7 linked regions of the Ovis aries genome follow. The protein of the gene in region 3 interacts with the protein of the main gene of each other region in a pairwise test. Links are inferred from orthologs where the notes say so. Each region holds a gene or a part of one and is shown on either strand. Other genes may lie near its edges. The genes, in order: SCG2, SERPINI2, UBQLN1, BPIFA1, PNMA1, TFF1 and ZG16.

Region 1 (4,466 bases), about 190 Mb from region 3:
TTAAGAGTATTGTGGTGTACCTAGAATAGTTAGAAATCATTAAATAAAACTTGATAATGGAAACCTCAGCTCAGGCTTCTTTTCCCGGAACCCTTCCCATTCAAGATTTCTAGACTGAACAATGTTCCCTATTGTGTCTGCTGGCTGACATCTTTCTTAGTGCTTTCCAATTTATATCAAATAAAAATAACCTGTTGTCTCTTATCCTAGAATAGAAATAATCTGTTTGTCTCTTATCCCCATTAGACCAATACATATATTGGGTTGCCCAAAAAGCTTGGTTGTTCAGCTTGTTTCATAACATCTTATAGAAAGACCAAATGAAATTTTTGGCCAACCTAACAGATATATATGCGTATATACATGTAGATACTATTCATCTTTGTATCTAGCACTTAGTAGGCATTACAACATACTGAGTAAGTAAATCAGTGGCTAATTATTCACTTAACAGAGACAAAAGGGATCTTTTATATAGCAAGATTCTTTTGCATTGTTTATTTCAAAATATATGGTTTTTAGAAAAACAATATCTTTAATAAAATGAAGTTAAAAATTTAGACTTATATGAATTATAAACTATATAATCAGGTTACCTGGTAAAGCACAGCAATGATTATGACTACAAGTCTGAGAGGTTGGAAGTTAAGTATTAATACTATATTATTCCTTGAATTGGTCACATTTATGGAATGTATTCAATTCACCTGATTCAACTGGAGGAAGAAAATATTTATAGTATAACTTCCTTTCAGTTACAAACAATTACAGTTGCATATGTGTAACACTTTTCTCAAACAGCAAAATTTTTTTTTCTTTTTCTTATTGAAAGTATTCTCAACTTCCGAGCTTCCCTTTTTGAGATCAGATGTTGTAAAAGATGCCAACAGATTCATATAGAATTATCAACTATTAGACCCGAGTCCTTAGAAATACATACTTCAAAATTATATTGAGACCATAGACTAAAACCCTAATTCATTAGAGCCTTGAGGTCGACTCACATAAAAAAAGAGGACACTTTTTTATTCAAATAAACATGATTTTAAAAACAATGCTACTTGTGGTGATGATATGAAATACGACTTCATATTCATAACCTGTATTCTGTTCCTCTTGAAGCATACTGAGGAATGTTAATGTAATTTCTTTGTGGACACTGAAGGAAAAAAAAAAAGTCCTTATCTGTAAAACTTTCTTTTAACAATGATGACAATAACAACAATAGCAACAGGAAACCCTTATCACAAGCTGTTTGGACACAGATGAGGTTATATTGCAATTAGCCACGTCTATCTGATGGATTTTTCTAAGGGAAATTGTGCAGAACATTTTATTTCGAGCCTCAAAGATTTTGTTAAAAGAAAGGGAACTGCAGTTTTTGCCACAGAAAGACAGGTGGCGTAAGCATGCAACTTTTTTTTTTTTTTTTTCAAAATCTATAAAGTGATTATTTTCTCTCGGGTTCTTTGAAAAAGCTCGCCTGTGCTCCGGTTTGTGGCTGAGCGGGTGACGTCAGTGTGGCAGTGCGGAGTCAGGCGCAGCGGCTCTCTATAAGCCGAGGAGCTGTCCGGGTGCTGAAACTGTCCGAGCAGCTCAAGCCGCGGACCAGGAGGAACATGCTGTGGACTTCCTCTGCCATATAAATAAGAGGTAACACTGCTTTTCCCTTCTACTTACTGGAAAGTTCTAAATTGCGTATTCTCTCCTTAATTCCTAGCTAAGAAGAAAAGGACCATTTGGCAAGCTTATATCTATAGAATAACGGAACGGCAACCTGCTGCTCATCTGGCAACCTAAGGACACTGTATATATGTACATATATATGCATGATTGCGTGTGTGATTTACACTGCTTGCTGTCAGGTATTTATTAACCATTGTGTTATTTAGATAATCATATATAAGAACATGAAAAAGTTAAGGATATTTGTGTCAATACACATTATTAATGTAAAGTTAACCAAGCCTGACATTTGGTTTCTTTCCTTAGTTTATTGTTTCTTCCCCTAAGGACCAGATACAAGGGCAGGGATACAATTTATATACTTAATATACTTAACAGTAGGTGTCCGATGATTCAAAGGCTGTTAAACAGGTTCCGGTGATAGAAACAACCAATTTTGGAGCTAGGTTTGTTTGCTTGCTTGTTTTTTCTTTGACATTTACTTTGCAAGAGCTCAAATTTAACTAACTGTATAAAATTATTTTCTAAATTGGTATACTCTGAAAGGGTTTACATTATTGTTTACTAATTTTGGTCCTAGCAGAGTAAGACTAGAATGAGCTTCTTCGATTTTTTCAGGGGGAAATATTATCTTGGGTTTTAGGTTGGATATGACCATGGATTACAAAGAAATAACTGAAATGTATGAGGAAACATTTATAACCATATAAATTATTTATTATTATGCTTTGGTTGAAAGAGGTTGTACAACATCTTGCTAAATATTTTGAATGGGACAAGTGTTTCTTTTTCCTGTATCCTAACTAATTGAATTGCTCAAATTTGATACATCCAGTTGCATTTGTCAATGCTCTACTATAATTTCAATAGAAAAGACATTTTATCTTATGAGGTTTTTTGGTTCAAACTCTACATAGAACATCAGAACTGTTCAAACCACCTTCAATATTTAGATGAGCTGCTATCAGCTTATCTAAAAAAATCCCTTGAGTCTTAGTCAAAGGCAATAACAATGTCACCCAAACTGAATCTGAGTAAATGACCAAACGGTAGCTCTTGTTACGCCTGTGGTTTAAATAACTGCACTGAATATTCTGCCCCAACACCACAGCCAAGTTCACCTACAAAATAATGATTTTAAAGATCATCACATAACCTAGCATATAACTAGGTTAAGGATACTTCAGGGTAATGGTTTCAAAGAAAATACATACTAAGATTCTTAAAATTGCTAGTCCAAATGCCAATGTGGAAAGTTGATTTTAAAATTTAAACTAATCCTGAAATAATATAAACAAGAATGCATTATGTACTTTTATTTAAGCTAATAAGTTATATATACAATTTGCTCTAGTAAACATTGATTCATAGTAAGTATTTTAGAATCTTCCTCTGACATGCCTTTAAATATTTTCCCTTCAGTAAATTAAGTAGCCAAATTAATGTAAATAAATGTATATTTAAATAATTAATTTAAATAATCATTTTAATAAATAAGTCTGTACTAAAGAAATTTCTGTAAGTACAACATTTTTAGATTCTAAAAACTGAAAATATTACTTAAATACCAATATGATCTAGTGAACAATGATATTTTCTACAATTGATGTCTAAGCTAACAGTAATGATATCCAATAACTTAACTTATATATTACAAAACCATAATTGAGTTAAGATATCATGAGCAAACTTGTAAAATTCCTTTACTTTATTTGTAACAAAATTGCACATATTAAAATAGATTTCAATGTTAGCAATGCCAAATGTAAAACATGTAAAAACTAATCCTCTTGCTAATTCATACAAGAGACTATAAGGCCTTGAAGAAAAAGAGTGAATGAAAAATTTTAAATGGAAGAATTCAATACACTGTATGCATTTTCCTAAACTGGGAATTACATACTGATTATTTTAAAATTTTCTAACAGAATGAGTCATTTGAGATTTCATAGGTCCACACCCAAATAGACACAGAGTCAAGCTGAATTTGAACACTTACAAGTTCGGAAATAGACTGGTTCAGAAAACTTATGTTCCCTTTGTAGCATCTGTTATTATTTACTATATCTCTTGAGGGCTGAGGAAAATATAATCATGATTGCATTTTACAAGACAGTCACAGCAAAATTATTAGAAGAAATATGGGGCACAGATGTTTTAAAACAGTTTATATTTTGGTACATTGGTACATTTACACTGAAATAAATATCATTGGATATCGTGGATTTTTTTTTTTTTTTGCAATTCTTACTATTGTGCTTGTATATCCTGATAGTACCATGTGTGCTATTACATCAATCAAGATGAGTGATTATAAAATACCAGACTTCTAAATTCAATATTTTGGAATTCATTGAGTAAATAAATACTGCTTTGGGGATATTAAAAAAAAAACAACTTTGTTAAGTTTGCCAACTAGCTTGGACTTGAGAAGACCTATATTCTGGAGGTCATTAAGGTACAGACCTTCCAAAATTAATAATATGATTTGGTATCAGACTAAAGGACAAGTTATTTCTGAAAATATATATGAATGAGACTCATCCACAAGAGAATTCAGTATGATTAACATTAACGTGGAATATCACTTCATCTTATATAGTAATGTCACTTTTGTTATGTTTCTACAACAAATTAGATGGACAAGTCAGTAATTAAACCACATGGTTTTTGATAAGGATATAAGTCTGTGTGTACATGCATGTCTTAAATTGAGCCATCTAATCCTTCTGCCAGTGCTTTCAGTGTAAATGCTGTACAAATAACTAAAACTCATCTTG
Region 2 (3,814 bases), on a different chromosome or scaffold from region 3:
TGGCAGAAAGTGAAGAGGAACAAAAGAGCCTCTTGATGAAAGTGAAAGAGGAGAGTGAAAAAGTTGGCTTAAAATTCAACACTCAGAAAACTAAGATCATGACATCTGGTCCCATCACTTCATGGTAAATAGATGGGGAAACAATGGAAACAGTGAGAAACTTTATTTTGGGGGGCTCCAAAATCACTGCAGATGGTGACTGCAATCATGAAATTTAAAAAAAAAGCTTGATCCTTGGAAGAAAAGTTACGACCAATTACTTTGCCACCAAAGGTCCATCTAGTCAAAGCTATGATTTTTCCAGTAGTCATGTATGGATATGAGAGTTGGACTGTAAAGAAAGCTGAGTGCCGAAGAATGGATGTTTTTAAACTGTGCTGTTGGAAAAGACTCTTGAGAGTCCCTTGTACTGCAAGGAGACCCAACCAGTCAATCCTATAGGAAATCAACCCTGAATATACATTGGAAGGACTGATGTTGATGCTGAAACTCCAATACTTTGGCCACCTGATGAGAAGAACTGACTCACTGGAAAAGACCTTGCTGCTGGGAAAGATTGAAGGCAAGAGGAGAAGGGGACGACAGAGAATGAGATGGTTGGATGGAATCACCGACTCAATGGACATGAGTTTGAGTAAGCTCTGGGGGTTGGTGATGGACAGGGAAGCCTGGCATGCTGTAGTCCATGAGGTCGCAAAGAGTCAGAAACAACGGGGCCACTGAACTGAACTGAACTGAATAGAGAGCACCCTCTATCAAAGGTAACAACATATTTTTTAACTGTATAATATCACAAGTGTCTTGGGAATTTTATTTTCCTTAAACACAAGAGAAGCTAAAATATTTTAAATTTCAACCAGAGAAAAAAATGTTAGAGAAAAATAAGTTTGTATAATAAAAAGAGTAATAATTCTTTTTAATCCCAGCATTCTGTTTTGAAGACATATTTTTTCATTCCTTTCAGAGAATATTGAGTACTTAAATTCTATCCTCCTCATGGCAAAACAGCGCTGGCAATGTTCAGACCTGCTTTGTATCCATAAAGTAGAGTAACAATTCCTAATGGGTTTTTCATTTTATTTTTGTCAATAGACTTTTTAAACATTAATTATCTTTCGGCCAGCTGTTGAAATCCGTCTATAAGTGAAAACATAAGAACTAGAGTGATAAAATGACATTACCAACCTAGGAAGGCTTATTTCCACTTCCTGTTCTTGCATCTCAGAGAACCATTGCAGGGTTTGAGGAGCAGTAATTAGCTTTTCCATTTCTTCTATGTTCACGTGTTCTGCAGGAAGTATGATAATTAAACTAAACTCATCACCTTTATAAGGTAATTCCAAAACCTGGTAGTTTATAGAGGATTCAGAAAAATAACCTGAAACAGAGAAAATAAAATATTAATATACTTAGCAATTCCCAAAGTTGTCCTTTAGAGTGTGATTTTTTTTTTTTCATATTACCGTATTTCGTTCTCAGAAGAGCTTTCATCATTGGAATTTTGACTGCTGTGCCATCTTTCAGAGTGAAATTCATCAGTTGTGTGTCTTCTTTGTTGAATTTCTGTTTCCAATCCCCTTTGAAATAAATAGCATTCACCAGAACAAGCCGAGTCAGAGGACCAAATTCTTCCCCTGAAAACATGTCTTTAATTTTTCCTGGGGAGAGAATAGAGCAAGAGGCAGAAAGAAACAGGCAACAGTGATTCAAAAAACTGCTTTAAATTAAATTAAAACAAAAATTTATCTTGCTAACCAATTAAAAATAGGGTGTTTTATCATTTAAACTTGGAAATTTTTGAAGAGTTAAGGAGGAGATTTATTAAATATTGACAAAGAAACAGGTACAAACAGGACTTCATTAGGAAACAGGAGATTCAGAATTATCTTAGATAAATTTAGACAGACTTAGCAATGGCTGCTCTTTGGTGAAATCATTTGTGTAAATTGCTTTTCAGACAGAAAGAACAAAATCAAGTATCTCTTCATATCTGTTGTTATTTTTCAAACTCTATTTCAAATTCTTCAGCAAGTCAATCAGAATTAATAAATTAGTGGTCCACTCAAATTCTCTGCTGTTGCATCTGTAGCCATTGACCATTCAGAAAGGATAAGAATGGAGTTGCTAATGTGATGTTCCTCTTCTAAAAAATCAGTCTCTGATTTTTATGTCTAATGAGTATTTCAAAGCTATGAGTCAACAGCATAATCAGGTGCCATGGAACTGTCTACAGATGCTCTTAATGTGTATCCCAGTAATAGTACTTGCCTGTGAACAGTGCTCACAATACCCATCTCACATTTTCAACTTATGCTTCTCCGTCGGAGGCTCCCCATATAAAACAGAGTCTCATCTTACACATCACAGATTTTTTCGGCTTAAATAGCAGAATGAATGAATGAAGAAACAAGTTGCTATTAATTGAGGGCCTGATATATACTGGTCTCTTCACACACATTCTTTTTAATCTTTCAATAATCCTAAAACATTATAATAGTATCCTCATTTTAAATGGGGAATGGCTTAGAACTTGTCAGGATTTGAACTCAGATCTGTATGAGCTTAAACTTGTGTTCTACTATGTCTCTCAGTAGTGCCTTTGGAATCTCTGCTAGCTTATACTTAAAAGTTTAGATTACAACTCTATGATAGAACTATCAATGTTTATTATGAAACATTAACACATCCAACTAATATGTGTTAATTATTTACAGTGTATGTGGGAAAGAAAGCATCTGAGATTGATAGATTTAAGTCTTATCTGGCCAAAGATATTATTCCTGCTGTCATACTTAAAAAAACACACTTTAATAAAAGATTACTATTAAAATTCTTCCAGTAAGAATTCTCAATCAGGTTACCTGTCCAAAAAAAAATCTGTATACTTTTCAAAGCTGCTTACAATTTCTCTCCATTTTACAATTCAGTGTTAATTTGAATAACAGGGAAGCAAAATAGAGGAACTGATCCCTCTGAGCCATAATTTAATAGGAAAATATTCAATCATTCTTTACTTTAGTATATTAAAAACCATGAATACAATGGCAAATAATGACTCTATGGAAATGGGAAACTTTACCATCTGTTTTGCTTTCTACCCAGTTACTTATTGTCTCTGCACAAGCCTTTGCATTCTGAAAATCCACCAGCTTTATGGCACTCTGAAAAAATTCCTTGTTTCCATGGAGATACTGTTCTTTCACAGTGAATCCTTCTTGAAGGTAGAGGGCATTGGCAAGATTAAATGTAAATTCTTGTTTTTTCTCTGAGATGGCAGAGAAAAATGACTTCAGCTCAGAAAATTCTTCTCCTGAAAAATAATTATAATGTATACTGACATACTGAACAACATAAAAACAACAGCTTCTCGGCTTTACTTCTAAGCACTCTGATTCATATCACCATTTTTTAGCAGCCTAAGGTACAACTAACGACATTTTCTAAGTTAGTATAAATATTTTAAGCATTTATCCCTTGTGGAATATGCATTTTGTAGAGAAACCAGCTCTCCTACAGGAAAAAAAAACTGTCCATGTAAATTTGAAATTTGTCAAAAATGAGAATATGCATTCAAAAAGGTTGAAAGAAACTCCCTCTTTATAGTCAAATTTAGCTCATTCTTAGTTGTTGGACAGGTATCTTTAGAATCTCATCCTATGCATAACATGAGATATTTGTGAAAGAGGAATACTAATGAATGTTGATGAGGGTAGGACAGTGATGAGCAATCCTTTTCAATACTACTTTTATTTCAGTTTAAGGAAGAATTGCTCTTTTATGACGAACTGTGCCTATCCAAGTTTTGAAATTTATG
Region 3 (4,480 bases):
AAAAAGAAAGAACTACTGATGACACTTAATCAGTTCAGTTGCTCAGTCGTGTCCGACTCTTTGCCACCCCATGAATCGCAGCACGCCAGGCCTCCCTGTCCATCACCAACTCCTGGAGTTTACCCAGACTCACGTCCATCGAGTCGGCGATGCCATCCAGCCATCTCATCCTCGGTCATCCCCTTCTCCTCCTGCCCCCAATCCCTCCCAGCATCAGAGTCTTTTCCAGTGAGTCAACTCTTCACATGAGGTGGCCAAAGTAATGGAGTTTCAGCTTTAGCATCATTCCTTCCAAAGAACACCCAAGACTGATCTCCTTGCGGTCCAAGGGACTCTCAGGAGTCTTCTCCAACACCACAGTTCAAAAGCATCAATTCTTCCGTGCTCAGCTTTCTTCACAGTCCAACTCTCACATCTATACATGACCACTGGAAAAACCATAGCCTTGACTAGACGGACCTTTGTTGGCAAAGCAATGTCTCTGCCTTTCAATATGCTATCTAGGTTGGTCATAACTTTTCTTTCAAGGAGTAACATAATAATGAGTCTCAAAACCTAAGCTGAATGAAAAAGCCTTACCCAACAGAGTGTATACCGTATACCATTTATGTGAAACTCTATATTTAACTTATATGCAGAGTACATCATGAGAAACGCTGGGCTGGAAGAAGCACAGGCTGGAATCAAGATTGCTGGTAGAAATATCAATAACCTCAGATATGCAGATGACACCACCCTTATGGCAGAAAGTGAAGAAGAACTAAAAAGCCTCTTGATGAAAGTGAAAGAGGAGAGTGAAAAGGCTGGCTTAAAGCTCAGCATTCGGAAAACTAAGATCATGGCATCTGGTCCCATCACTTCATGGGAAATAGATGGGGAAACAGCGGAAACAGTGTCAGACTTTATTTTTGGGGGCTCCAAAATCACTGCAGATGGTGACTGCAGCCATGAAATTAAAAGACGCTTGCTTACTCCTTGGAAGGAAAGTTATGACCAACCTAGATAGCACATTCAGAAGCAGACACCAGAAGACTTCGGATTACACAGGTGTATGTATTTGTGTAAACTCCTGGAATGGCAACCGACTGCATTTCACTGCAAGTCAAATTTACCTTCAAAAATTTTAAGTTGAAAACCTGAACTCAATGGTTCAGTTCAGTTGCTCGGTTGTACCCAACTCTTCGCGATCCCATGGACTGCAGCACGCTAGGCTTCTCTGTCCATCACCAACTCCCAAAGCTTACTCAAACATGTCCATTGAGTCCGAGATGCCATCCAACCATCTCATCCTCTTTCGTCCCCTTCTCCTCCCGCCCTAAATGTTTCCCAGCATGAGGGTCTTTTCAAATGAGTCAGTTCTTCGCGTCAGGTGTCTAAAGTATTGGAGTTTCAGCTTCAGCATCAGTCCTTCCAATGAATATTCAGGACTGATTTCCTTTAGGATGCACTGGTTGATCTCCTTGCTGTCCAAGGGACTCTAAAGAGTCTTCTCCAACACCACAGTTTAAAAGCGTAACATGTACTACTACTTGCAACTTGCTTTGAATTGCATCCAAAAAATAAAATTGACCAATAAATGATTAATTGTTTGATAAAGCAAATAAAGCAAGATGCTAAATGTAGGTGATGGACACATGATAGTTCACTGCACAATTATTCCAACTTTCCTGTATGCTGGAAAATACTTTAAAAATTAAGGGAGAATTTTATAGGAAAATTGAGAGACCAAAAAAATAGGGATTCAAAAGGTGGTCAAAGTTTCTACACATTCTTACTACTTGACAGAACACACCACCGTTCATAATCATATAAACAAATATCGCAATTATTTATTGTTCCTTCAGGGAAACTTACAGGTACGTTTCATTTTTGCTTCTTCATAAACTGTTCACACTGTCTTGGTATCTGCTGACCAACTGTCTGAGATCAATTCAGTAATTACGGAAATATTCTGGGACGTATATTTAACAAAAACTAAAATGATTTAAGTTCCTCAAGATCATTAATTAACGGCAATAACTGTATTCCTAAATAGATTTTAAGCGGTAAATTACTTTTAAATTTCCTCCATTAACTCCAGGTTCGTGCTCTTTCATCTGACTGCAATTGCTAACATGTGAATAACGTTGCTATTCCTCTAAAATCAAACAAAAACCTCCCCAACGACCGGCATCTAAAGAATGACAAATACACTTAGAAAAAAAAAAAAAAAACAGAACCAGCATGTCGTCAACGAAAGTCATCCACCTTTCTCCTTAAGCCTAGTTCTATTAAGATTTGGCTGAAAGCAATTTCTACGTCATAGCTCATTTTTTTCTTTAAAGACTGGAAGGTGGGAAAGATTTCAGCGGTCAAAACGCAGAACTAAATGCACACGTGCTCCTCATCCCAAAAATCTACTTTAATCCCCAGGCAGGTAAAACAATGAGCACCCCCTTTTTTTCTCCCCCCCTTCAAGAGACAAAACCGCAGACCGGGCTAAGCCAAACCCTCGCCCAGCCTCCACTCCGCCCGAGCCAGGCGGCGGGTCTCTTTCCTTTGTGCAGAGTCAGAGGGAGGCGGCTCGAGGCGGGGAGCTGAGGGAGGAGGCTGGGGTCGGCGGACGCCGGAGCAAGAGGAAGGCGCCGAGGAGAGCGGCATCGGCGAGCCCCATAAACAGGCCAAGAGGCCACGCCACAAACCTCTGCGGTGTCCCCAGGAGCAAACCCACAAACCTGGGTGTGATCTAATTTGGGATCAGACCCCGGAGAATGGCCGAGGGCACCTCCGGAGACGACCCCTTACCCTCAAGCCCCTGCAAAACAGTCTCCTCCTGCCGCTGGCGGAGGTCCTGCCGCCATCCCCACCCCGCCCCGAGCCTAGCGCGGCCCTCACCTGCTGGACGGAGCTGTTCTCGGGCACTGCGAACTCCTCCTTCTCCTTCGGGGTCTTCACGGTGACTTTCATGATCTTGGGTTCCGTGGAGGCGGTGGCGGCGGGGGCGCCGGCACCTTCGGCCGCGGCGGCGTTGTCCTGGGAACTTGGAGGGCCGCCGCTTTCACCATTCTCGGCCATGGCGGCGGCGGTGACTCAGGCGCAAAGGAGGGAGCGGGTGAGGGAGCGGGAGCCAGGCAACGCCAGAGCCGGCCTGGCCGGGCAGCGGAGAATGTGGGGCACGCTACCTCAGTGACAACTGGCTCAGGGCCGCCCTGGCGGGCGAGGAGCCGCGGAGCTTGGCGTGGGCTCCGGCGCAGGCCCGAGTCGGGCGCTCAGCAGCCGCTGTGTGTTCAGACGGCGATGAGTCGCAGCGACATCCGCAGCAGCCACTGCCACCGCCGCTTCCTCCTCCCCGCCCCTCCCCCTACGCCGCTCTGCCCGCGCCGCGCGGGGCACGCCGGGTAAGGCGGCTGGCGACGTCGCCGAGTCATGCCTGGCCGGCGCGGTTTGGTTCTCTGAGTGCTTTTCTTTCCCTCTCCTGCTCCATTGCTCAAAGCGTAGGTGCGTCCAGAGTGAAGGACTAAAAACAAAGTGGGGTGGAAGAGGTCAGTTCATTCCTTCTTATCTCTTTAACCAAAAAATAAATTGGGGGGGTTCTGGGAGGCACCGTTAAGGGCGCACGAGGATGACGTCACGGCTAGCGAAATTACTGGAAAGGAAGCTAGACCACCGGGCTCTGCGGCCGGAATTGCGCCTGCGCGATGGCAGGCCCGCTAGTTCCCCACCCTCTCACCTCACTCTGGCGGTTACGGTGCGCATCCCCTAGGAGCCTGAGCTTGCTTCACGGTGTACCCCACGGGGAGGAGGGTCTGGAACAAATGCCCGCGAGGGTTTTTTGTAGTTGATATTTAAATGTGCTTAAATTTCGCGTACTTTAAAAATTTTAAACGCTTGCTTTTACTACACGGTGCGCATGGACGGAGTACGCCCCTATCGCCCACCCTGCTCTATTCCGAGTAGTCAGTGCTCCGGGGCCAGAGCTTCCCATCCTGGTCAGCCAGGTTTGGTCAGGTGATCAGGCCTCCTATGTTGGCAATGGCGCGCTAGCCCACCTGTGATTCTCTGTGAATACTGTCCCGTGAGATGTTTAGGGCAGAAACATAGTATCCAAGGCATGCCCTCCCGGCTGGGACAGCACAGTGTAGCTGAGGTGTTCATTTTATATTCTATCAAATTAACTTACTGCTCTTTCAGCCTTTAGGTGACACAAAAGGTTCAAAAATTATTTTCAGTGTAATACATGTGTAAATAAGAAACAGGAAGTTAATTTTCCCCTAGAGAATATTAAACTGGAAATGACCTCATCACTTGCCTTTAAAGATGGCTTGCAAGAAATGTACAACACTGGGCATAAACTTTATAAACCAGTATTGCGCAAATGTAAACTTTGACACCACACCGTGACCCAGATGTGCAAAGATACACTTTATATTTCTGTTCTTAAACCGTCCAACTCTGTCCTGGCTCTTTTAAGTACTCTTTTATGAAGTCCACTTCTTAGCAA
Region 4 (4,362 bases), on a different chromosome or scaffold from region 3:
TTCTTGGCCTTCCTTAAGTCAATAGAAATTGACTAGAGGCCAGACAATAAATTCAGGGGAGACTTTATTGGGGCCCCTGCTAGCAGCAGGGGGAAGCGAAAATAAGAAACAGGCTCCCTTGCTCCCTCCCCAAGGCGGGGCACGCTGGTTCCTTCTATGGGGTGAGGGTAGGGGGTGTGTCCAGGCATTGGGCTGGACAGGCGCTTAAGTGGTCTGCCCACCCTTTTGGTGGTGTTGGGTGCAGGGGGTATGAGCAGTACCCTGCTTTTGCTCCCGACCACCACCACCCTGGTTTTGGTTCTCAGCCTTTCAGAAGTAGCAGTTGGGTTTGGGGTCTTTTTATGTCTTGTTGTCAATCATTTGCCCCAACTGTAGACGCATGCAGTTATTTTTAGTCCCTTATAGTTTGTTTGTATTTTGTTACTTAAAGAGACATTTGTCTAGGAGTAAGCACTGGAGCAACTAACTCTGCCCTCATCTTCTCTGTGTCCTTGGGCACCCATCCCCACTGGGCCTCAGTCTCCACCTCTGCAAAGGAGGAGCAGCAACACCTCCCTCCAGGGTTCTGTGAAGATGTCTAACTCCCAGCATGTGACTGTCATGCAGTTGGGATTCAGAAGTCAGGAGACCCCCACCCTGGAATCGAGGGGTGTCCCAGGTGTAGGGAAATCAGAGACAATTTGATCCTTTTTCTACATTGGATATGAGACTTTGGCCACCTGATGCGAAGAGCCGACTCATTGGATAAGACTCTGATGCTGGGAAAGACTGGAAGCAGGAGAAGGGGACGACAGAGGATGAGATGGTCAGATGGCATCACCAACTCAATGGACATGAGTTTGAGCAAACTCTGAGAGATGGTGAAGGACAGGGAAGCCTGGATGCTGCAGACCGTGGAGCTGCAAAGAGCTGGAGATGACTGAGCAAATGAACAGCAACGAGACTGGTGGTGCTAGTGGCTAAGAACCCACCTGCCAAAGGAGAGGTGAGAAAGGTGGGCTCGATCCCTGGGGCAGGAAGATCCCCTGGAGAAGGAAAGGAAATGGCACCCCACTCCAGCACTCTTGCCTGGAGAATCCCATGGACAGAGGAGCCTGGCCGGCTATAGTCCAGCGGGTCGCAAAGAGTCGGACAACGAGTTAAACAACGATGAGACTGAGGTCCCTTCCAGGGCTCCAACAGTTGCCTCTCCCAGTGCTCCAAACAGAATCTTCAGGTCACCTTGGAGCAAGGGTTCCCAGCCTCACCCCCGCTCACGAAACCATGAAATCTTGAGTAACATCCGCATCTCATTTTTCTGTTTAACTTGTCGATCAAACAGCTTAACGGTTCCACCTACTAATGTGACTGGCAATTATTTACTTTGGAGAGCCCTGAAAGACACCAACAGATTGCCGAATTCTGAATCATCTATAAATCCATCTCTCCATCACTCATTTCCTGATTTCCACACTATAAAAAAGGCTGCCTTCTCAGCAAAGCAAGGAGACCACGACAGCTGCCAGAACGTCTGAGAAGCCAGGTGAGACTTGCGCATTCCACCCTCCCCCACCACCACCACTACTGCCTCGGCGGGCAGAGGTGCTAGCCTCCACACTGTGGCATCACTGGCTGGCTGCACTTCAGATCACTCTTTGGGGGTCTTGCAAGAGAGCCAAAGCTTGCCATCTGGGGGGGCAAGGTGATAACCGTCCACTCTGCCTCCCTAAGAGACCATTGACATTAATGCAGAGACTTTTGGCAACAGGCTATTTGATGGTGATAGGGAGCACGTGGCTGTAGGTACATTGCTCAAATTCCACGTGAGCTAGGGCTCTCTCATGGGCGTGCTCCTCCTGCCCTAAATCCCAGTCTCTACGAGTTTTATCTTGAGTTTCCCATTGTGCATTGCTCAGTGTACACGCTTGCTCCATTGTGCATCCAGACCATGGTCCAGCAACCTCCTACAATCCACCCAATTTTGTACATTTTGGTGCATTTTTCTGGGACCAAGGGGCCCTAGCTTCCATTGGAGTCATAAAAGATCTGTTGCCAAAAAGAGATTCAGAGGCCCCAAGCCAAGTTTACCTCTCAAGGAAGCCACAGCTGGCTCTTTGGACCTGTGGCAGCAGCAATGATGGCTCTTTGGCCAAATCAGCCAGTTGATGGGATTTTGCCCAAAGCAGCCAAGTGTCTCCAGATTGTGGGAGCCAGTTCCAGCTGTCGACACCTTTACTGACTACCAAGAAGGCCCTGGAGAAGGATGGTGGCATCTGGGAAGGGGACTGGTGCAAAAGGGAGGCAGCTGTTGCTGTTCACTTCCTGGTGTGCTGGGGTGGGGGCAGGCAGTGGAAGGGTTCCTCTCTAGTATCTGCGCCACAGTGGTCCTTTCCGCAGATACTAAGTGAGAGGATGTTTCAAATCGGGAGCCTCATTGTCCTCTGTGGGCTGTTGGCCCAGACCACGGCCCTGCTAGAAGCCCTGCCCGTGCCCCTCGACCAGAATCTGCCCTTGGCTGTGACTCCAGCCCTGGCCCCGAGTCCCACAGATCTTGCTGGAAGCTTGACAGGTGGTAAGTAAGAGTCTGTGACAACTTCTTCCACGTGTGTGTGGGTGTGTGTGCGCAATCATCTAATGGTTGGGAAGGGGGCTAAAGGGGGGTAAGGACTGAGGAGCCATAATTGTCAGATCTGACCCCCAAGCACCCCACACCCATTTCCAGCTCTCAGCAATGGTCTGCTCTCTGAGGGTCTGTTGGGGATTCTCGAAAACCTTCCGCTCTTGGACATCCTGAAGACCGGAGGGAATGCTCCCAGTGGCCTACTGGGGGGCCTGCTTGGGAAAGTGACTTCACTCACCCCTCTCCTGAACGACATCATTGAGTGAGTAGCCCTGAAACAGGGCCTTGGACCCCATCAGAGATCTCCCACTGGAGACCAGCCAGCCCCAGGCAGTGGCCTTGGGGGAGGGAGCAGGGTCATCAGAACATGAGGCCAGGACTCAGGCTGAGACCCCCTCGCAGTCTGGCAGGGAGCAGCAGCTCTTCTGAACCAGCAACTGCTCCCAGTCCGGAAGCACAGCTTGGATCTCCAGCATTGTCTATAACCCTCACCATAGTCCTCTGAGGTCAATTTAACGATGCCTAGTTTCATAGAAAAGTGGAGGCACAGAAACGGGCCTGTGCCCACACCACCAGAGTGACTCAGAGTGCGGGTTCTGATCCTAACGGACTCAAGTCCAAAACCAAGGCTTCTTCCACTCCACCATGATAATTTTGTTCTCGTCATCGGTGGAATCCCTTCTTAAGTTGCTCTCCTCACTAGTGAACACAATGGCTTTTGATGTAAGCGAGAAAGTGTAAGCTATTCTCCTCAGTGACATCATCATGTGATGTCCATGGAACAATCCAATTAACAAAGAGCGAGAGTGGAAAGTGAGCTGGCAAGACTGGGTCCTTTACAGAACTGGATCAAATCCATTCCCAGGAATCCTAGCCGCCCCCCCCCTCCCCCCAGATGCTTGCCTCTGACTTGAAGACAGACAGACAGACAGACAGCCTTGAGTCTGATTTCTGTATCCATCATGCACTTGCTGGGTGACCCGGGGCAAGGTACTCAGTCTCTCTGGGCTTGGCTTCTCCACCTGTAAAATGAAGATCATGGTACCCACAGAGAACTGTCAGAAGGACTGGAGAAGACGCAAATCATCTGACACAGAGGCTAGCTCAGAGGAGAGAAGAGGCCTCAGAGAAGAGGCTTACTTCCCCCCTTTCTCGGTTCTCCCCAGCTTCCTGCTCCTCTGTCTTCATGATTAACTTTATTGATTGACCTGCCATTGAAGGGCTCAGCAAGATTCATGATCCCTACTCTTAAATGTGGAGGACTTACTTCAGTTGCCCCGACATCACCCACTTACCCACCCATACATCCACTTGACCATCTGCCCTTCATCTAACCACTTTCTCTTCCATTCATCTACCCCCATATTCATCCACCCACCTGCCCATTAGTCCACAAACTCAGCCATTATAAAATAGCCCCTTTCTTTGTAAGGCTCTGAGCTGGCGTACAGGATGCAAACATAACCGAGACACAGTTTCTTATCTTGGAAAACCTCATAGACCTAAGGTGAGCAGAGGGATCTGACCCAGTGCAGAGGATGGGAAAAACTGATGCGAGACTCAAAACTCGTGTGGCTATTGTTGCAAGACTCTCCTCATATCTCCTCCATCCCACCTTATGGGTAGCTGCATCTCTGAGATGCTCCTGGTGGGATTAGATGTGGTTTCTAAGTTTAGGACTAGAGGAGTTAATGTTTCTCACTCCAATGTTTCTCCCTGGGCAGTTTGAAGATCACTAACCCTCAGCTGCTGGAACTTGGCCT
Region 5 (4,337 bases), on a different chromosome or scaffold from region 3:
CTTTTTATATCCTCGATATAAGTGACTGCTGTGATACTAAACCATCAATTTTATACAAGTATGATGAGTTATTATTCCTGCAGTGAAACATTTTTAGTGGAAAAAAGATTTAAAATGGTGGGAGTTTGGGGGGGGGGCGGTGTGGGGGAAGCATTGCTCGATAACCTCCTAAACTCCATTTCAGGATTTTCTAACATTTTATAGTAAGTTAATATTTGTTATGTCTATTTTGCCTTCAAACACTTGTCTGGTAGAAAACATGCAAAAATTGAATATATTGAAAGGTACTGAAACTTTAAATTACATAGTATGATATAAAGCTTAAAGTAAAAGAACTGAGGTTTGGGGTTTTTTTCAGTGACATGGCGAAGTCTTCCGAAGAAGATCATAGAGCTTAATTACACTGAAAGTTTTCATACATGTCAGAAAAACAAGACAACAGAATTTTTAAAATATTTTTATTAATAAACATGTGCTTGATAACTTCAAATTTAGAACACTTAGAACCAGCATGAACAAGGTAAACTTCTTCAATGATAAAGATTTGAAATGGGGGAATAGATACTGAGCTGGTTCATATTAACCTCCCTGTTCTATTCGTATCTTGTTCAGTGAAAACTTGATTTACACAACTCTAAGTGCAGTATTTCTAACAACTCCTTTTGCAGCCTCAGAACACGTCTCAAACTGATCTAGATGTTTAAAGATGAAAAATGAGAAATTTGCACTGTAAAGTTGAATAATATCTAATTCACATTTCTTTCCATTAATATAAATCAGAAACAATTTACAGTAAACACAAAAACTACTCACAATAGTAGTAATAACAACAGTTCACATTTTTACTCAACACTTCTTGTGTGAGCCAGGCCGTGCACTAAAAACTTCTGAACATGCAATTTCACATTCAGTTACCTCTGGGAAGTGTCACGAGTTCCCATGGTTTTCACAACTGATGATGATGACGCCATGACAGCTTGCAGCACTGACAATTTGCACTGTCCAAGTCTCTCCCTGGCATTGTGGCTGACATGACTCATACTGCAGCAGCTCTGGTGCTGGCTTGCAAGCTTTTACCAATGTTAACGTGAATATGCAGGCCTGACTTACCCCAGAAAAACCACGCTAAGTCTTTACCACTAGGTGACATACCTGCAGGACAGCACAGAGACACGAAAAGCAGCTGTGATCTAGGTCTGCACTAAAGTCAGTTTTCTCGGGACTCAGAAGTGCCCCTCCAGGCCTAACTGCAAGAGGGCGGCTTCAGCCGCCTCCTCCTCTTCCTTGGCCTCCTCCTCACGGATCTGCACAAGCAACTGGAAGAGGTTAGGGGCCGGCCCTTCCGCAGCCCCAGTCAGCCATAGCTGCCTTCGGATGGCCCCGCTGTGGTTGGCCCCGGCAATGACTTGTTCCAGGCGGGCTTGGTTCACGTTATCTTTATCTATGGCTCCCTTCTCCACCACTTTCTGCAGCAGAGGCTCCAGACGAATGACATAAGCAGATAATTTTTCTCCCGGGTTCTGGTAAGTGTTCAGAAATCTGACCTGCACATCCCTGGAGCTCTCCACGCTTCCAAACACCTGCTCAAGCGCCTTCAGGCATTCGGCGGTGGTAATATCTGGGTTGTTGGTCTTGAGGATGCGGATGACATCAGCAGCAGGGCCTCGAAGACTCTCCATCAACCGCCGCCTCTTTTCTATATCAGACACCTGCCACTCCTCAATGACCTCATTAGCGTGCTCCAGCCAGGGCTCAAATGTCTCCTCCCCAGGCCCCGGGATGTCCCTCCCCGAGAACAACGTCAGCTTCTTGTACCATATGGATTCTATAAGAGGCTTAATAACATTATCCAAAATATAGTTTAGCATCTCTGCTGGCATATCTGGGCCTGGGGCCGGAGCGGGGTTCTCAAACCCAAGGACACGGGCAACATCTTGCACAGTCCATCCCTCTCGGGCTAGGAAGAGATGCAACCTTTCTAGAAATTCAGCGTCGGAAGTCGGAGGCTTAAAGACTACTTTCCAGACCCCTCCTTTACCCGGCATCTCCCTAGGGATGGCAGCGTAATCCACAGTTCCAGTGAGCTCTAACAAGGCTGCTTTGGCATTCTCTTCCCTCCAGAACATTCTCCCAAGCACTCGATAGTGCACCTGGGGCATCGCAGCCTGGAGGGTCTCTTCGATTTCAGCCTCATCGCAGTTCACCGGGATCCCCCAGACCAGCAGGGCTCTCTGGGAATTCACATCCATCCCTCTGCACCAGTCTTCCAACAGTGTCATCGCCATTTTCCCCAACTATCAAGAGCCCCTGATAGTTGGGTTATCAGGGGGTTAGATAAGTTAAGACTGTGGCTCCCTGTGCTAAAGGACTTAGGACGACAGCGGACACTCCCCTGCAATTTGCCCAAGGGAGTCAAGCTTCAAGCAATCACAATTAACAAACGACACCAGAGTCCAGCTCTCGTCCTTTCACTGCCTCCACCAACGTCCGTCCTCCGCGTCCTCGGAGCGAAACTTGGGGGATGCTCAGTCACGCGCCCAACGCCATCTCGTGTCTCCGGTCGGCGTCCGCGGGCCGGGTCCCGCACTTGCAGGCAGGGTGTCGTGTCTCCGCGCAGAGGCCCGGAGGGAAGGCAGGAGGAGAAGGCAGGAGACGCCGCGCTCTGAAGAGGCCGCCGGGGTGTGATCCCGGGGCGTGGCCGCCAGTTCTCCGCAGCCCAGGAGCCGACCACTCGCTGCTGCCCCTCCTGGCATCAACCCGGCTTCCGCGGTCAGAGCTCGGCCTTCAGGCGCGCGAGGAGCCGCTCCTCTGCAGACTGCGAACTGTGCCGTCCCTGCAGGGGGAGACTGTCCAGAGGTCGCAGCGAGGCCAGCCCAAGAGCGGCTTCTTCGCTGGCGCAGGTACACCTCTCTGGGCGGCGAGGACAGTCGGATACCCTGAGCACCAGCAGCCGAGGCGCGGGAAGGAGGCGGGAGCGAGGCTAGAGGCGGCGCCGGCGAAGGCAGGCCGCAGCGGCTGCGCGTGGGCTGCGGCGAGCTGACCCCGAACGGCGTTGAGGGGCTGCCGGCCTGACCGACCCGCAGCCAGCCCAGGCGTTACTGCCGCAGCGAGGGGCGGGGCCGGCCGACGAGTGGCTTTCGCCCCGCCCCCGCAGCCGAATCCTGCGCGAGCGTAGCCAAGGCAACGGCGGCCTGGAAGACTCCAGACCCTGACGCTCCGGCTGCCTGCGGTTGCCATGGTGCCAGCTAAGGGCCCGCGGAGCGTCCTCTGATGGCGCATGTCCTTTTTCATTTTCCAGATTTTTTTTCCTTTTTAAACAAAGCACTGTGTTTAAAAGTTTAATATAATTCTGGAGTGCATTGAAGATGATATGAGTCTGTCAAGAAAGACTTAACTCACGTCGCTCCTTCAACCAGTCCAGTTCAGTCGCTCAATCATGTCCGACTGTTTGCGACCCCATGGACTGCAGCACGCCAGGTCTCCTGGTCCATCACTAACTCCCAAAGTTTGCTGTTTAAAAACAGATGCAGTACCAGCCGATCGATCGCACTGTGCACCCTCCGCGAACTTCATTCCAATAAGACTAAAACGCTGGAAGTGTGCAGTGTTCTCCTGTCAGACACTGAGTTGAGCCTTTTTCTTCTAAAATTTTGTAAGATCTAGATCTATTAAGTAACCTTTGTAGCCAGGCAAACGCTAGTGTGTTATTTCCCCTGTCCTGGCATCACTGACAAAGGGCTGATAAAACAGAATGCTTATGGCTCAAAAATTTCAAGTAATTCCTTGCAAGCAAACCAAGGCCAATTTACGTCAATCCTAGATGGTGAAAATCTCCCCTAAAGGACACAGCATTCAACTATGAATTTTTAAAACCTTATTTAATAAAAGGTTTAAAGATACAGAAGAACATTCAAAAGTAAATAAGTTACATAGGTACATTACAATCACATCAGCAAGATTTTCTTTAGTGTGTTAATTTTTTTTTTTATAAAAAGCACACAAAAAATAAAATCTTCCGTCTGGTCTATCACAACTGTACAGCAAAAGAGGTAATATTTATATATATGTACACTATTTTAATATGTAACAGTCTTTTTAAAAAAGGGTGCCACAGGCAGCAAACACACAGAAGGCAGTGTCTGATTTTTTTTTCAAAATAAAAGGAATATACTTATTTATATGCTATTAAAATATTTGTACAATAATTACAGACTGTCAAGGCTGTTCCTGTGCTCTGTCCCCTCCAACAAGGCCTTCGACTGAGAGACAAATGAGGAAAAGGTGAAACAGCTGCAAATTGTTAGAGGCAAATATTAACACAGCAAAAATATGGGGAG
Region 6 (2,450 bases), on a different chromosome or scaffold from region 3:
GGAGTGGATGGAGCACCTGCACAGCCAGGCCTCCCTCTGGAACCTGGCTGATGGCCCTCATCCGTGGGCACCCTGAGACCAGGTGCGGAGAAGAGCCCCCCATTCTCCATTCCCATCCCAAGAGAGAGAAGGGGCTTCAGACTCTTCTGCCCCTGCCTCAATCTGTCCACTACCAGATCTGAGCAGTGCTCCTTCTCAGAGCCCCAAGTCCAGACCCCACAGGTCTTGCATCTAGATCACGTGGGCACTTGCTGCCCATCTTCCCTGCATGTTCTATGCCTTGGGTCAATGGCCTCACAAACCTGGCTAGAGTGTCTGAGTGGCTCCCTTTGCTCAAGAGCTGCAATCATCCACTCCTAGCCCTCAGCCTGCCTTCCCCATACCGCCCCACCCGCCTCCCCCTCTTGCCTGGAACACACCTTGCTCTCTTTCTGCGCCACCTTTGAACACTCTGCTCTCTCTCTCCTTGGAATAACCATTGCCTCGTTCTTACCTGGCCAACCTCCTCCAACAGGAAGCCCTCTTCACTTTATTCAGTCTGTAATCAATCATCCCTGCTGGGCTTGCCCTGTGGCTGGCTGTATTATGCTGTTTCGTATGTTTATTTGGCTTCCTTCTCCATCAGACTGTTAGCTTCTCAACAACAGCTTCTCTATTTTCAATTTCCAGGTCCCTGTTACCCAGCACGTGGCCTGGTGTGAACTTGATCTTTGAGGGGATAAACAGATTCCTGTCTGTGTCCCGTGCTAGCTCCAGTTTCTAGCACCCACAAACAGTGCTCAACAGATATTTACTCATCTAGTGACTAAAGTTTAATAATTGTTCATTGACGTTAATGAGCAAATGGGTAAATTGCCTGGGTGGGTGCAAAGTCTATGAATCTCGGACACCTTGCATTGTTCCTGAGTTTCAGTGTTTCCGCGCCAGTAAGTGAGCTCTGGGTCTCCATGGGCTGCTCGTCTGATGGCTGATTTAACTGGGGAAGGAAGCAACGTGGAGGGTGGGTCATAATAGGGAAGGAGTCAGCCCATGACTTACTTTCACCTCGTGGCCCATATTCTTTCAGAGACGTGTCAGGTGGAACCCCATCAAAGAACGAATTGCGGTCACCCCGGCATCACGGCTAAGGAGTGCAAAGATAAAGGCTGCTGCTTTGACAGCACTGTCCGCGGAGTCCCATGGTGCTTCCAAACTGCGCCCGTGGAGGAAGGTAGGGCCTTGTCGACACCACAGAGTCTGAATACACGGGACCACGGAACCCTAATTCAAGTTGCCATCTGTGTTTTCACCCAGAGTAATGGCCTCGGGGTGACTAGGAAGATGTAGTTTTGCCTAAATCAGTGTGAATCCAGGGCTGGGGGATGGAAAGAGCTGAAAGACCTGTTTGGTGGGGCACCCTACTCTTCCTGGCTTTTCTTCACATGTCTAATCAGGGATCTGTGAGGAACTGTCCTTGGTAATGCTTCGTGGCTCACCTGGGGTGGGGGCTTGCAAAGGGTGACAATTATGATACAAAGACCATCCTTGTTTTCTAAAGAATTTTCCCAGTGATGTTTTTAAGTAAATTCTCTGTGATTATTTAAAAGTGAAAGAAAATGCTTTTTCTTACTAATCTCTTCTCTTGGACACTTCACCCTTGCAGAGTGCGAGTTTTAGATACTTTTCTGGTGGAAATGGCATTGGAGTGAGAAGGACGTCTGCCTGGTGCCAGGGGCTCAGCCCCATCGCTGGCCGGATGTCTTGGGGTCCTATGAACCTGAACTCCCTGCCTGGATTGACTGCTCAGATTCTCTGTATTCCAAATTAGCCTAAAAATTAAAAGAGATGAATGGTCCTCTCTGCTTGCGCTTCTTATAAAAATGTAAACAATTTTCCTTTCTTTGAAAGAGAAATGCGATACTTGTGCCTCTGGGTTCTCGCTGTGGATTACACATTAACTCGGGCTATCTTGGGCCAGAGACCGCGGCTTGTAACATTGTTAGGTTGTCTCGGTGGATGTCAGTCATCGGGGTCCGTGCACCAGGCCATCGGGTTAAAAAGCCTCAGAGAAGCCACGCCCTTGTCAAATCATGGAAACAGGCTCCAATTCAATCACATTCTTTACATATTCATTGTGGTAACAAAAATTGCCTTGCAGTTTCTTCATGTCCCTCACATGGAAACTGACTTAGGAGATAAAACCCACAGCAAAGTGCCTGAACATACTCATAATAAAAACAATTGAGGAGGACGGCATGAGTTGACCCCTTGAGGAAACTCCCCCACCCACCTGGTTCCCCAAACTTGAGCTCCGAGTTGGAAAATAGGACAAAAGGGAAGGGTCGAGAGTCCCCAGTGATCCCTCGTCACCGACACAAGAAAGATGGAGGGGAGCCAATTGGACCTGCCTGGACCTGAGCAGACGCCCCCACCCAGGTGGGCAGTGCTGCCTGAGTAGCCTCTGGTGCCCC
Region 7 (4,472 bases), on a different chromosome or scaffold from region 3:
ATGTGGGATCCTCCCAGACCAGGCATCGAACCAATGTCTCTTGCATTGGCAGGCAGACTCTTAACCACTGGACCACTAAGGAAGACCTTATCTCCTCTTGATAAATTATGAAGAAAAGCTCAAGATTCTTTCACCTCTCTCCCTCCTCCTCCCACTCTTCCCCAGACTAACACACAACAAGTAGCCAGAAATGAGATTCACACATTCCTACCCAGAGTCAAGAGGTGCATCCCACTAGCTGTAGTCATGCCCTTTTATTGTTTGTTGGTTTTTTTTAAATTGAGACATGTGGATGGTGGTTAGTGGTGAGTGGGTTCCCAAGTCCCCATTGTAGAGTTGCTGTGCAACTCAGCAGCTCTCGTAATCAGAGGGGTAGAGGTCCCAGTGGAAGCCGATGGCATCAATAAGGGAGCCAGATCGGCCACTGATGAATCGTAGCACAGTGTTGGGGTACAGAGGAACAGCGTTGAAACTTGTGCCTTTGTCTGTCCCGAAAGACAGGAAGCGGAACTTGTCCGTCACAAAGACCAGCTTTCTCAGGTAGGTCTTGTACTTTCCCGACACCTGAACGATGGATTCTCCAGGGTAAAGAAAGATCTCGTCCAGGTCTCCCGAGGTGCCACCCACATAGTCGCTCCACACCGTACCGTAGCGCACCTGGAGACTAGGGGTGGAGTGAGGAGGGAAAGAAGGGAGACACTGAGTAAGATGATCAGAATTCAGGAGCTGTTGGCCTACAGGCTGAGACCTTCAGACTGGTGATGGAGATGACAGCCCTGAAGAGTGTGAGGGTTGGATGAGCCCTGGAAGGTCATACATGGAACTTCAGCTCCTCATCTTGCTGATGAACAGGCTCACAGAGGGAAAACAGCTTGCCCAGAATCACCCAGACAGTGAAAATCAGAGCTTGCCTTTGGAGTCTACGTTCCCACTGGGACCCTACTCCCTACTTGAAAGAAGAAAAGGGATTTTTTTTTTTCCCAACATCTGAAAGGCCCCCATGAGGGGAGAAACTTGTTTATGCTGTGCCAGGCTCCAATGTCAGAAAGACACACGTTTGGGGAGAGGCATCCAGTTAGAGACGGAAGATGCCAGGCAGGATTTAAACCTCGGGTTGGGGTAAACTAGACAATGCCCAGGTCCCTCAGAGGTTAGGGTATATGAGTTACTCATGATCACACATGTGGGAGTCTTAGGGGTTTTGGCAGCACAGGTCTCAAATCCAAGTCATCTAATAACTTTTCTGTATCATGTTATCCCTGTGACTTGCTGCTGTGACCCAAAGTGACTGCTGCTGCTGCTGCTAAGTCGCTTTAGTCGTGTCCGACTCTGTGCGACCCCATGTCACTGAGACCTTCCTAACTTAGTAAGATCCTAGAAGGTCGCCAAAGCACAGAATCTCGAAGACGCTTACCCTACGATGTAGTAACTGCTGACTCGGATGCGAATGGCGGTGATGGGGCCATCCAGCTGGTTTCCAGACTGGGAGAATCGTTCTCCTCCCCCGCCTCCGTATTCTCCACTGTAGGAGGAGGCCCTGGGTTGAACTGGAGGGAAAGGAGGAGTTGTGGGGAGAAATCCCCTGAGAGCTCAGTTTCTCCACATCACCCCTCTTCCTCCCGCAGCTCAGTTCCCACCACGCCAAGTCAGCCTCTGAAAGCCTTGGCTGCCCGCAGCGCGGGCGGCTGTCTTCCCCTGATCTAGTCCTGGGATTCGGGCTTCTCACTTACTCTCTGTGGCAGAGGCTGAGGCACAAAGTAGGGCGAGAAGAGCAGTGGTCCACATCCTGGGGCTGGAGTGAGAAGAAAGGGAGTGAATAGTTGCCCTTATCCCCTCGGAGGCCATTTACCCAGGCTCCCCTGACCTCCAGCTGAGTCTTGGGGTTCTTGGTCCTTCAATGCAGACCTTGTCCACTCAGTCTTCAGCTTTGAAAGAACTGCCCATAGTCTCAAGTCCTGTTCATCACAGATACTATCTTACGTGTCCTTAATCCCTCTCTGTCTCCCCTGTCTGGCTACAACCAACCCTCCTTTTCCCTCCTGACTTTCTATCTGGATTAAGCTGTGTCGACCCCTGTTCCCTCCTAGCACAAAGCAGGAAAGGAATTTTCTAAAGAAGTGAGGGACTTCCCTGGTGGTCCAGTGGTTAGGACTCCGCACTTCCACTGCAAGGAGAACAGGTTCCATCCCTGGTTGGGGAACTAAGACCTACAAGCCACATGGCAAAGCCAAAAAAAAAAAAGGTGGAGGACATCTCCAAATTATAGAGATGGTTGAGTTCATCAAACCAGGAGTCTGAGAAAAGCTTAAAGGAAGTCGGACTGGGGTAGATTGGCCCAGCTTGTGGGGCATCTGGGGCATAGTTTAAATTCCTAGGTTGGGCCTTTTCTCAAATTGGAAAGAAAGGAGCATTTTAGAGCATTTATCTGTCACTTGGAGAGTGAACACGGTAATAGAAGAGACAGCCAGCATCACCATCCAAGCAGTTCTGGTGGAGATGGGATAGCCCAAGAAGTTTGAGAAGGAGCTGGAATCAGCTTAAGAAATTAGATGCCAGGTGCCTGGTCTATTTGTCATACCTCTTTCTCTGCTAACACAAATCTGGCCACGGGTGTATCCCAGGTGTCTCCAGCCCTACAGTTGAGATCCAGACGTCTTTACACCTAAGACTAGCTCCGATTCAGATGCCCCGGTTAGTTGACACCCAGGTCTTTCCTGCGGCTCATAGGGAGTCTCATCTTCAGCTCAGCTTGAATTTTCCCCTAACCCAGATCCAGGAATCCCCGTCACCCCCTAGCCAATACCTCTTTCACCCCTCACCTGGCAGTTTCAAGTGCAAAATAGCTCCCCTAGAAACTTCCAGATCTTTTATACCAAGTCCAAGCCCTCCCCCTGCTGTTTATCGTGTGAACCTCACCTCCTGAGCAAACATGACCAGACTCCTAGGATCAGTTGTCAGGCAGGGTCTGGAACTTATCCTACCCCAAGGGTTACAGGTGGCAGGGTGGGGCCAACTCTGGGCCAAGGCCTAGATCTCAGGAGAGGCAGAATAAACTTGGGAAAATATCACCAACCGAAAGGCCAGCAGCTGTGGGCAGGCAGCACTGCTCATCACCTGGTGTCATCCAGGGTTCTCCCTCCTTTATGTGGTTTCTGCTGGTGTCCTTACCTGCAATCTGCCATCTCTCAGGATAAACATTGCCTTCTCCAGGCATTTGAAATATAGATTCTCTTGGAAAGGAATGACACTTCCAACACCTTATACTATTTGCTGGGCAATTTTTTTCTCTCCTCTCATATTTTATATGAAAAAATTCAAAGTGTAGAAAAGTTGTAAGAATATACAGAGAACATCCGTATGCTCACCATGTAGATTCTGTCATGGTTAATTTTTTTTATTAAATTGAGTCAGACGAAACAAAGCTCTACTTCATTAAAACATAATTTTATTTATTTATGTTTGGCTGTGCTGGGTCTTCGTTGCTGCACCGGCTCTTCTCTAGTTGCGAGGAGCAGGGGCCATTTTTCGTTGCAGTGTGCAGGCTTCTCACTGCAGCGGCTTCTCTTGCAGGGCCCAGGCTCTAGGGTGCGAGAGCTTCAGCAGTTGCTGCAGGAGGGCTTGGTAGTCGTGGCTCGTAGGTTCTAGAACACAGACTCAGTAGTGGTGACAACGCACGGGCTTACCTGCTCTGGGACATGCAGGATCTTTCCGGATCAGGGATCGAACCCATGTCTTCTGCACTGGCAAGTGGATTCTTTACCACTAAGCCACCAGGGAAATCCTCTCATGGTTAATATTTTGTTGTACTCTCTATTTCTTCCAACCATCCATCATCAATCTGTCAGCCGCTTCACAAACTTTTTCTCTCTGAGAAGAGCGACTTGAGGCAACACCTGCAGATCCCCCTCCCCTGAACAGACAGTCAGTTTAGTGGGCAAATGGGAAGCTGAGGAAGTAAAAGCAGACAGGACCTGCCCTGGGGGCCGTGCTGGGCCCTCAGGACTTCTGACACCATAGCTGAATCTGCCTGGTGCTGTAGCCCGCCCAGGGCAATGACTCCCTCCTGTGGGTCCGAAACTTCCCAGAATTGGGGTCATCGATTTCTTCTCTTTGCCAGCCCTTGTCTTCTGGAACCCCTCTAGGACTGGCCCTCCCACCCACTGAGGCAACAGGTCAGAAGGACAAAGGCCAGGGAGGGACTGGAACCATTAGCCTCGGTTATTAATAACCAGGAGCCCAGCATTCAGAGGACAGGCTCACCATCTGGTGCTGAGGACCCATCCCAGGAAACAAAGGAGCCCCACCCTGGGGAGCCGGAAGTAGGGCGGGGCTCCTGGTGGGGAGATTCCGAGATCTAGGAGGGCTGTGTGATCTCCCTTCTCCAACCTTCTGCGTGTCCAAAACAAGCGCATCCTGGTGACCACTTTTATCTCCTTCCAGCCATTTTGTCCTCGTATGGCTTTTGTCTTTCT

Evidence for each region.
Region 1: the proteins of UBQLN1 (region 3) and SCG2 interact in binary tests that used the Homo sapiens proteins (3 or more experiments, as listed by UniProt). The two-hybrid records come from large-scale screens. The link is inferred for Ovis aries from reciprocal best matches to the Homo sapiens genes UBQLN1 and SCG2.
Region 2: the proteins of UBQLN1 (region 3) and SERPINI2 interact in binary tests that used the Homo sapiens proteins (3 or more experiments, as listed by UniProt). The link is inferred for Ovis aries from reciprocal best matches to the Homo sapiens genes UBQLN1 and SERPINI2.
Region 4: the proteins of UBQLN1 (region 3) and BPIFA1 interact in binary tests that used the Homo sapiens proteins (3 or more experiments, as listed by UniProt). The two-hybrid records come from large-scale screens. The link is inferred for Ovis aries from reciprocal best matches to the Homo sapiens genes UBQLN1 and BPIFA1.
Region 5: the proteins of UBQLN1 (region 3) and PNMA1 interact in binary tests that used the Homo sapiens proteins (3 or more experiments, as listed by UniProt). The two-hybrid records come from large-scale screens. The link is inferred for Ovis aries from reciprocal best matches to the Homo sapiens genes UBQLN1 and PNMA1.
Region 6: the proteins of UBQLN1 (region 3) and TFF1 interact in binary tests that used the Homo sapiens proteins (3 or more experiments, as listed by UniProt). The two-hybrid records come from large-scale screens. The link is inferred for Ovis aries from reciprocal best matches to the Homo sapiens genes UBQLN1 and TFF1.
Region 7: the proteins of UBQLN1 (region 3) and ZG16 interact in binary tests that used the Homo sapiens proteins (3 or more experiments, as listed by UniProt). The link is inferred for Ovis aries from reciprocal best matches to the Homo sapiens genes UBQLN1 and ZG16.

The regions. Positions count from the first base shown.
Region 1 is NC_056055.1:225,805,194-225,809,659, reverse strand, and holds the start of SCG2 (secretogranin-2), read left to right. Parts: upstream 1-1,579; 5' UTR 1,580-1,653; intron 1,654-4,466. UniProt on the Homo sapiens protein: Neuroendocrine protein of the granin family that regulates the biogenesis of secretory granules.
Region 2 is NC_056054.1:220,632,438-220,636,251, reverse strand, and holds part of SERPINI2 (serpin I2), read right to left. Parts: intron 3,311-3,814; coding exon 3,080-3,310; intron 1,659-3,079; coding exon 1,464-1,658; intron 1,379-1,463; coding exon 1,186-1,378; intron 1-1,185.
Region 3 is NC_056055.1:36,050,411-36,054,890, reverse strand, and holds the start of UBQLN1 (ubiquilin-1), read right to left. Parts: upstream 3,055-4,480; coding exon 2,875-3,054; intron 1-2,874. UniProt on the Homo sapiens protein: Plays an important role in the regulation of different protein degradation mechanisms and pathways including ubiquitin-proteasome system (UPS), autophagy and endoplasmic reticulum-associated protein degradation (ERAD) pathway.
Region 4 is NC_056066.1:62,735,254-62,739,615, forward strand, and holds the start of BPIFA1 (BPI fold-containing family A member 1 precursor), read left to right. Parts: upstream 1-1,482; 5' UTR 1,483-1,522; intron 1,523-2,376; 5' UTR 2,377-2,391; coding exon 2,392-2,551; intron 2,552-2,701; coding exon 2,702-2,861; intron 2,862-4,323; coding exon 4,324-4,362.
Region 5 is NC_056060.1:83,213,112-83,217,448, forward strand, and holds PNMA1 (paraneoplastic antigen Ma1), read right to left. Parts: upstream 3,101-4,337; 5' UTR 2,286-3,100; coding exon 1,224-2,285; 3' UTR 442-1,223; downstream 1-441.
Region 6 is NC_056054.1:263,311,081-263,313,530, reverse strand, and holds the end of TFF1 (trefoil factor 1), read left to right. Parts: intron 1-1,066; coding exon 1,067-1,210; intron 1,211-1,642; coding exon 1,643-1,656; 3' UTR 1,657-1,834; downstream 1,835-2,450. UniProt on the Homo sapiens protein: Stabilizer of the mucous gel overlying the gastrointestinal mucosa that provides a physical barrier against various noxious agents. May inhibit the growth of calcium oxalate crystals in urine.
Region 7 is NC_056077.1:26,975,619-26,980,090, forward strand, and holds ZG16 (zymogen granule membrane protein 16), read right to left. Parts: upstream 2,846-4,472; 5' UTR 2,820-2,845; exon of another isoform or gene 2,579-2,819; intron 1,793-2,578; 5' UTR 1,786-1,792; coding exon 1,731-1,785; intron 1,548-1,730; coding exon 1,415-1,547; intron 665-1,414; coding exon 349-664; 3' UTR 240-348; downstream 1-239. UniProt on the Homo sapiens protein: May play a role in protein trafficking. May act as a linker molecule between the submembranous matrix on the luminal side of zymogen granule membrane (ZGM) and aggregated secretory proteins during granule formation in the TGN.